2 linked regions of the Oryctolagus cuniculus genome follow. The protein of the gene in region 1 purifies or fractionates together with the protein of each later gene. This does not show direct contact. Links are inferred from orthologs where the notes say so. Each region holds a gene or a part of one and is shown on either strand. Other genes may lie near its edges. The genes, in order: DYRK2 and UBR5.

Region 1 (4,335 bases):
TAAAAACTAAAAAACTTACAGAAACCTGAAAGACATAGGGGAATACGGATCTGCAAAGGCTCTTCACTTGTAATGAAGTTAATACAATCTCCTAGGATTACCAGTGTGGGACAGTATGTCAAAACCACACTCGGGAGGGTGTGGGGTTTATTGATAGGAATTAACTAGAGAATCCTGACCAAACCAGTTAACATGTCTGTTTCTTCCTCTGCAAATCAAAGGAGCAGAACGTGATAAACTCTATATTCCTTTAACTCTCCTGTTCTAGGAAATCTGCGATGTTACACAAATAAAATCCAAACTCAACGACCAACCACATTCACAGTTCTGAAAGCATGTACCTAATCAGCAGCAACATAATGTCTGAAACAGGCCAGTCCTCAGAAGCACATACACAGGGCGTCTTGGCTGCAGCAGTACTGGCTGCTCCTCCAGGGGAGACTCTGCCTTCCCTACATTCACTACACATTTCAATTGTAAAGAGGCTCTGATGGCACAAAGTGCACCCTGACAAAATTGGAATCCAGTTGTAAACTAAGTACTTTTTTTCCAGTTCACATCACGTCATGTGAGTATATCAACACACAGGGGGGAAAAAAAAAACCCTAGATGTTACATTTGCCAAATTGCCAGATGATTCCAAACCAAACAAACAAAAAACCCAAACCCCTAAAACCAATGGCAGATTCTAAAACATCAGTGTGATAAGAACATTTAACAAATACAGAATCATCCATCCTCCCAACAAGACTCTCCCTGACATCAACAATCCAACACTGATTAGGCAACTGCTGTGTTGTCAGAAGGGAGGTAAATAACAAAGCAGCTTCCTAGCTCTAACAGGTGCAAACTGCACCCTAGATTGCCTCTCTGATTCTCTGATAAACAGGTTTCCCCAGAACCCACCATCCCCAGAGCTGCTCCCCTTTGCTAGAACTCAACTTTTCACTTGGCAAACAAAATCGCACCCCTCATGCAGAACCATTTTAGGTGGTTCCGCTTGGAAGCTGCAAAACCTCTGAACCCTGAGATCACCTCCTGGGAGCTGGCAGTCTCCATCCGAGGGCTCTCGCTGGGAGCAAAGCGAAAGCACATGCTGGAGTCCAGGGCAGCTTGCCCACCATGGTGGCCGCTGGTCCCACGCCGGGCCAGGCTGGGCCGGCCCCTCCCTCCTGGGGCTCCGAGGGCACACAGCACCTGTCAGGTGCCCTGGTCTTCCCACCTCCGGAGCAAGGCTGGCCCCATAATGCCCAACTGCAGGATCCTGCCGGGGTGGCTGGTTTTGTTTTGACTGCTGCTGTGGCGCTTATTTTTGTTAATGTTAATTACAATTTCTGCTGTGCTCAAACCTGTAGCACTCATAAAACATGCTTACACACGCGGGGGGACAATTGGTGGGGCTCCCTGCTGGCTGCAGCCGGGCCTGGGAGGCTCTTGGGGGGATCGATTTTCCTAGCAGGACAGCCTGACTGTCCCCTAACACATATCTGTTTCTATAAATAGCCACGACCCACGGGAGGGTGTGTTGGGGGGGGGCAGGACAGATGTTTACCGGGTCAGGGCGTGGAGCTCTGAGAAGCAAGGACAGAAAAAATAAGGAAGGGAGAAGGAGAGCGACAATGAGGAAGGCAAGCTTGGGGGTGGGCGAGCTCTGCGGGGGGAAGTGTGGGGGCCCACGCCACGAATCTTCCTTTTGTAGCTGCAGTTTGGGGCTCGCCCAAGTCACCGGGGCCGCACGCACTTCGACCTTCCCTCGGAGGCGTCCGAGCCCCGGAAGCCCGGGCGCTTGTGCCCCGAGGGAACCCTCCAGGCCGCCCCCCACCCGTGGCCGCCCGCGGGCGGGGTCTCACCGTGTGGGCCGTGGCGGCCGCGTTGCTGGCCCGGAGAGGCGGCAGGGCGATGGGGGAGGGCGGGCCGGTCCCCACTCCGCTCCGGGGGGCCCCCGCGCCGAGCCCGGGGGAAGCCTGAAGCTGACGAACGGCGCTGTCCCCTCCTCGGCCTGGGAGCCACGCACGGGAGGAGACAAAAGAGGGTCAGGGGCGGAAAAAAGTCATCCGAACCCCGACCTCCCCCACCGCCCCTCCGGGCAGAACACCCCTCCTTCCAGTGGCAGACACCCGCCGGGGCCCCGGCTCCCCAGCGCGCCCCCACGGGCGGGGCGCCACAGCGGCAAAGTTAAGTCGGGCACCGGCGCGCGAGTTCGCGAGCCGGGCCGGGGATTCGCGGCCCGCGCTGCGGACGGCCGGGGCCGAGGAGGGCGCAGCGGCCTCTCCGAGCTCACAGCGCGGGTGGGGGACGGCCCCGGCGCACCCCGCCCGGGCCCCCAGCGCGCCGCCGCCCGGCGGGGGCCGAGGGCTCCCGCGAAGGAGCCTGCGGGCCGCGTGCAACAATGCGCGGAGCCGGGCGAGGCGAGGCGAGGGCGCGCCGGCCGCCAGCCCGCTGCCCGCTCCCCACCGCACACTTCGCTCCAGGTCCCGCGGCGGTGGCCGCACGAGCTCCGGGGCTGGCCTGGGGCTGACGGGGGCGGCGCGGGGGGCCCAGCCCTCCTTACCGGTCGGGTAGGCGGCGGGAGCGGCGGCCGAAGGTTTCCTGGTTAACATGGCCGCTGGAGAGGAAAATGCATCTCAGGGCTGCCGTCTCCGCCGCCGCCGGTCCCGCTGCTACTTCTCGCGGCGGCCGCCGCCTCCCGGTCGCCCCTCGGGCGGGTCCCCGGCGCCGCCTGGCCGCCTCGCGTCAGCTACAGCCAGACACACACAGCCGGCTGCATCCCCTCGGCCCGGGCCCGCAGCCGGGAGCCCCCCGCTCTCCTCCTCGCCGCCGCCGCCGTCCTCCTCTTCCTCGGGCGGCCGCAGCACCCCCCGGCCCGTGCTCATGCCTCGCCCTCCCCTGCGCGCCGCGGGCCTCCCCGATTCCCTCACATAGGGGCGCGGGGAGCGGGCAGCGCCGCGCCGACCGCCTAGCTCCAGAGCCTCCTCCTGGCTCGCGCGCGCGCGCGCCCCCGCGCACTCTCGCCCAGGCGCCCGCGCCCGCGCGCGCCCCGGGAGGGCAGCCCCGCCCCCGCCGCAGGCCCCGCCCCCGGCTGCCCCCGGCCCAGTCCCGCACCCTGCCGTGCTCCCCACCCCCACGCGGCCGCCCGGGCGCCTGCACAGCCGGGATCGGCTCCGGGCACAGCTCGGCCACGTCCGCCTCCCGCCATCGGCCCCTTGCCCCTCGCTCCCGCACCGACGCCTGGCCCCCTCCCCGGCTGCCCTAGCCCTTGCCGGGCCCCGCCTTTGCCCTGAGCGCAGCCTACCCCCGCATCCTCCCCCACCCACCGACCTCGCTGCAGAGACCCCTCCCCTTCCCCGCGCGCCCCCAAACACGGCCGCATTTTCTGCTTGGCGGACCTAATGGCTGCTCGCGAACAATACTGTCTCCCCCGCAGCGCGCCCGGGGACTTAACGACCCGCGTCCCCCGGTTCATCACGTGGACAACTTAGTTGTGCGCGGGTCACCGCGGATGGCCGAGCCCCGCGGCGGGGCCGCCTTGAGCCCGGGAACCCCCAGCTCGGGCAAAGGGGGCTGCCCTCCCGCCGCCACCTCCACCTCCACCACACTCTCCCTCCCCGCTTTACTGACACCGAGTGACCGCTCTCCAGTCGCTAGGACAAGGGGGAGGCAGAGAGGCGCGCGTGGACGGCAGCCGGGGAAGCAGTTGGCTGTGGGTTGCTAGGCAAAAATCAACACCAGAGACGCCTCCCATTTCCTTGCAACTCCAGCCTTCCCTCTGCGGCCGCTGGGAGAGACACACCTTCCTTTCAGCGCCTTGCCTCTCTGCTCGCATCCTCGCAGACCAAGCTCTCCCGCCGGCTTCCAAGGCACGTGCAGAATGTGTCTGCCCTTGCATTGTGCCGTCTGCGGCCTCCCTTTCCCTGGTGGACTGAAAACGTGCTCGCCCGCCTCGGACCCGTGCCCCCGTCCTGGGTGGCGCGCTGTGCGCCTTTGTCCAAAGGTCACCAAGTTTTGCCACTTCACCGGTCTGGGAGGAGGTTGGGGCAGAACCGGACAAATCCCGGATGAGGGCAGAAAGTCGCCCTGAACTTCCTTCCTGAGAGATGCCAGGTGTCTGAGGTTCTGCCGGGGACATGGGTGCTTTCTGCTCTGCCCAGCCCCATCTCCGGCCCTGGCTGGACCTAGCAGGCAAAGCCCAGGGGGAGGGAGCCACCTCCTGCGGAGTGCCTCGCCTCTCCTGTTGGCAATTGTCACAGCAACCTCCCACAGAGCTCACCCTCAGCTTCACATAGATACCAGGATCCGAGAGTGACAAGGTAACAGCTTGACCCTCTCCTACAGAGG
Region 2 (3,805 bases), on another chromosome or scaffold:
GGTGTATCCAATGTTGTCTGCTGGTTCATTGCTTTAATCCAATAGATAAGGGCTTGGAAGACATAGGCCACATGCTTTAATGAGCAAACATCCAGAACTGGAAGAACATCTGAGTGCTCGTCGTTATGTGACCGCATGAGAGAGAGCGCATAATTCAGAAAGTCTCCTCGAGCAGACATCATTCCCTGACGGGCGCTAAGCAATGTGGCACGTCTACAGAACAAAGAAAAGAGAAAGGCAGAATTTTTGCAAGTTATGTATTTGATAAGAAGTTTATATCCAGAAAAAGGAACTCATGAGCCAACAGAAACAAGCCAATTAAAAACTAGAGAAGACTGTAAATAAACATTTCTCCAAAGATATGCAAGCTTGCCAGTTAATACATGAAAAGATGATCCCTATCATTCATAGCCCATTAGGGAAATGCAAACCAAAACCACAGAGACCCAGTGTCACACCTCTGCAGGTTGGGCATAATAAAAAATGGACCGCTGCTGAAGACAGAGAGAAATTAAACTCTTAAATGTTATTACGGAGTGTCCTCTTCTTTGAAAAATAATGTGACAGTGTCTTAGAAGGTTAAATAGAGTTAACACCTGCCTTGAGAAGTGAAAATACTTATTCAAGCTCATGGCAGCACTATGCAAAATACTGAACAGGCTGAAGTAAGTCAAAAGCCCAGCAACTGACAAATGGATAAACAAAATATGATATATCTGTACAATGAAATATTAGGAAAGGAATGAGATACTGATGCATGATAAACATGGTGAACTTAAAACCATTAGATAGCTATGTGCAAGGAGCCTGTCACAAAATACCACATAATGTATGATTCCATTTACACAAATATCCAGAATCCATAGACACAAAGCAGACTAATTGTGCCAAAGGGCAGAGACCGGTGGAAAATGGAGAATGACTGCTACCATTTCTTGCAGAGATGAAGAAAATATTCCAAATTGATTAGGATGATAATTACAGTTAAAAAAGTACAGAATTGTACACATGGTATATGAATTATATATCAATATAGCTATCCTGAGAGAGAGGGAGAGAAAAGGCAGGCACACACGTGCACATGCACACACACACATACACCTACCAATAAGGATTCAATAAGAGAATTCCCTGTTCTCTGGGGGAGGGATATCCTGAAAGAAACAAGGCTTTCACCTCTGTGTGGAACAGGCTTCTTGGGACAGCGGCTGCCTCCCAAACCTGTCTCTAGTTAGCTATCTCTGCCAAGTATCCAATTTTGCATCCTAGACAGTTCGACCAAATTAAAAGTGTGTCCATTCCACCCTTCTGGAGTTTTCTCTTAACTTTCCCACCCGCTATTCAGAGTCCAGGTCTAAATACAAATATAAATTCTGCCAACTCCTGCTCCATGTCTCATGAAAGGCCCTAAATTCTAGAGAGGGATTAAGGCTTCTCTCCCCTCCTTCCAGGATTTCACTGCCCTACTTCAGTAACTAATACCTCTCGTGAGCTCTAAAACAGCCTTAATTTTTCTAAGCACTTTCTAGAGCCTCATCCTTCCTCCTTCATGATCTAACCAAAACGACAAGGTTGCTTAGCCTGAGCCAGAGGGGAGGGCGAGGTAAATCCTTAAACTTGGGCTTTAGGCACAGGGCCTTTCTACTTTTGTGATACAGCTGTCACTCAAGAGGTCAATGTCTAGGTTAAGTGCTAGTTCACTTTATGGACGAAGAGAAAGAACCTAAGTACCTAAAGGTATGTATTTTTAACTATGATTCAACAGCTTGGTGGAGACAGAGGAGAAAACGTGACTGCACAAGCCACGAGGGACTTTGGTAATCACGTATACTTCTTCTTGAGCACCAAGGACATTTATGCTCAGTCATGGTCAAAGTTTTTCTGTGAATAGGACCGTTTCAAAAGGAAGGCAGGAGAGGCCTGGGAGATAAATGAGACAAGGATATGGACCAACAATTTCAAAACTGAAAAGTCTCCACTGTCAGAATCTGATGATATGAATGGATTGTAAAAGCACAGTTTGGGTTAGAACTTATTTGGCTTCAACTACAGAACAATGTAAAATACTTAATGGAATGGGAGGTGCTTACTTCCTCTTTCATAATAGAATGCATCTGTAACAGCACTCAACAAGGTCTAACTCTAGAGTACAAGGGCCATGGTCTAAGCATACGCATATTCATGAAGAATTTCATACCGTCTGCCTTCAAGGGTTCGTAAACTAGCCTCCTCTCGCGCAGTCATCCTCTCTCTTCGCGCTGAATTCTGAGAAGCGTGAAGAGGATGATTTGGGTGTCCCGGATCACCAGCAGATGCTAATGCAGAACCATAACGTAATTGAGCTTCAGTAGAATCCATAATACTGACCATCCAGTTCCAAGTGGGAATAAGCTTTTCTTCTACATAGTTCTATGAAGACCAAACTAAAATAGTTAAAACTATCCAAATAGAGCTAAATTCGATACAGCAGTAGTATGTCAACGTTTGTCATATTTATTCCCATTATACTAGAATTTTCAAAATTATAGGCAAAAAAGTATTCAAATGAGTAATTTTTCATCAGTTTCATACCTGCAAGTTTACTGCATCTTGGTAAGTCAATTTCACAGCTGCCGGAATCTGAGAGTACACTAGGTGGTTATACTTAGGAATAAGGCCCATCAAGTCCGAGATTTGTCTGATGACAATGCTGTAAGCCCTGGCTAAACTGCTTGCAGATGTTAAGTAGCTGCTGGCATTACTAGCTTCCAAGGCAGCTGCTGCAGCTGCAGCACTCGTACTGATGGTACCACTCCGGCGTAAGTTTGAAGGATCAATATAAATCAAACCCGCCGAACTTGCTATAAGGAAAAAGGACAACCACAATGAGTCAGTTGCTAATTGTGTTTCTCCGGCACTGCATATACTTAGGTAAATCTAAATGGTCACATATACACAATGCAATATTACTAAGGCATTAAAAAAAAAAAAAACTAGCATTTGCACAACATGGATAGAACAGAGAGCATTATGCAGTGTAATAAGACAAGCATACAAAGACAGACAAATATTACATGATCTCACTCATATGTGGAATGTAAAAACACAGGTGATCTCAGAGAAGTTAAAAGCATAATGGTGATTTCCAGAGGTTGGGAAGAGAAGTAAGGAAGAAGCGGTAAGCAAAGGCTGACTGACGGGTACCAGGTTACAAGACAGGAATGAGAAGTTCTGGGGTTCTACTGCACAGCAGAATGAATACAGACACTGTACTGTACATGTCACCATCTAAAACAATACTAGAAGGTAGAATTTTGTAATGTTTTCACTATAAAGAAATGTTAAATGCTTGAAAGGACAAGTATATTTACCCAAATTGGACATGACAAAAATGTATACATGTACAACACAATCACACAGTACCCCATAAATATATACAATTTTTCTGTCAAATTTTATTAAACAGTCTGATCAATTGCTAACATGTCATCAGTGAGCAAAGAAGTTTTCCTAAACCCTACTAATTTAGGTAGGCTTGTGTTGAGGGAAGCAAGAATTTAACACAATGTTCTCCACCAGGGATGACTCTGTATCCTGCCCCTCTGCCAAAGAGGACATGTGGCATGTCTACAGATGACTCTGGACCTCACACTGGCGGGGTCGCACAGGGGAAGGGAAGGGAGGTGCTACTGACAGCTGGCGGGGAGAAGCTAAGGATGCTGCTTAACATCCTACAGTGCACAAGACAGTCCCCACCAAATAAAAGCTACCCAGCCCAGAGCACCGGTACTGGAAACACTGAGAAACCCCACCATAATCAAACACA

Evidence for each region.
Region 2: the proteins of DYRK2 (region 1) and UBR5 purify together in Homo sapiens (affinity purification with western blotting; 3 studies listed by BioGRID and IntAct, with this or other methods). This does not show direct contact. The link is inferred for Oryctolagus cuniculus from reciprocal best matches to the Homo sapiens genes DYRK2 and UBR5.

Annotation. Positions count from the first base shown.
Region 1 is NC_091442.1:70,020,223-70,024,557, reverse strand, and holds the start of DYRK2 (dual specificity tyrosine-phosphorylation-regulated kinase 2), read right to left. Parts: upstream 3,005-4,335; 5' UTR 2,601-3,004; coding exon 2,552-2,600; intron 2,000-2,551; coding exon 1,851-1,999; intron 1,421-1,850; exon of another isoform or gene 1,096-1,420; coding exon of another isoform or gene 1,036-1,095; intron 1-1,035. UniProt on the Homo sapiens protein: Serine/threonine-protein kinase involved in the regulation of the mitotic cell cycle, cell proliferation, apoptosis, organization of the cytoskeleton and neurite outgrowth. Functions in part via its role in ubiquitin-dependent proteasomal protein degradation.
Region 2 is NC_091437.1:127,610,611-127,614,415, forward strand, and holds part of UBR5 (E3 ubiquitin-protein ligase UBR5), read right to left. Parts: intron 2,841-3,805; coding exon 2,572-2,840; intron 2,410-2,571; coding exon 2,198-2,409; intron 214-2,197; coding exon 1-213. UniProt on the Homo sapiens protein: E3 ubiquitin-protein ligase involved in different protein quality control pathways in the cytoplasm and nucleus. Mainly acts as a ubiquitin chain elongator that extends pre-ubiquitinated substrates.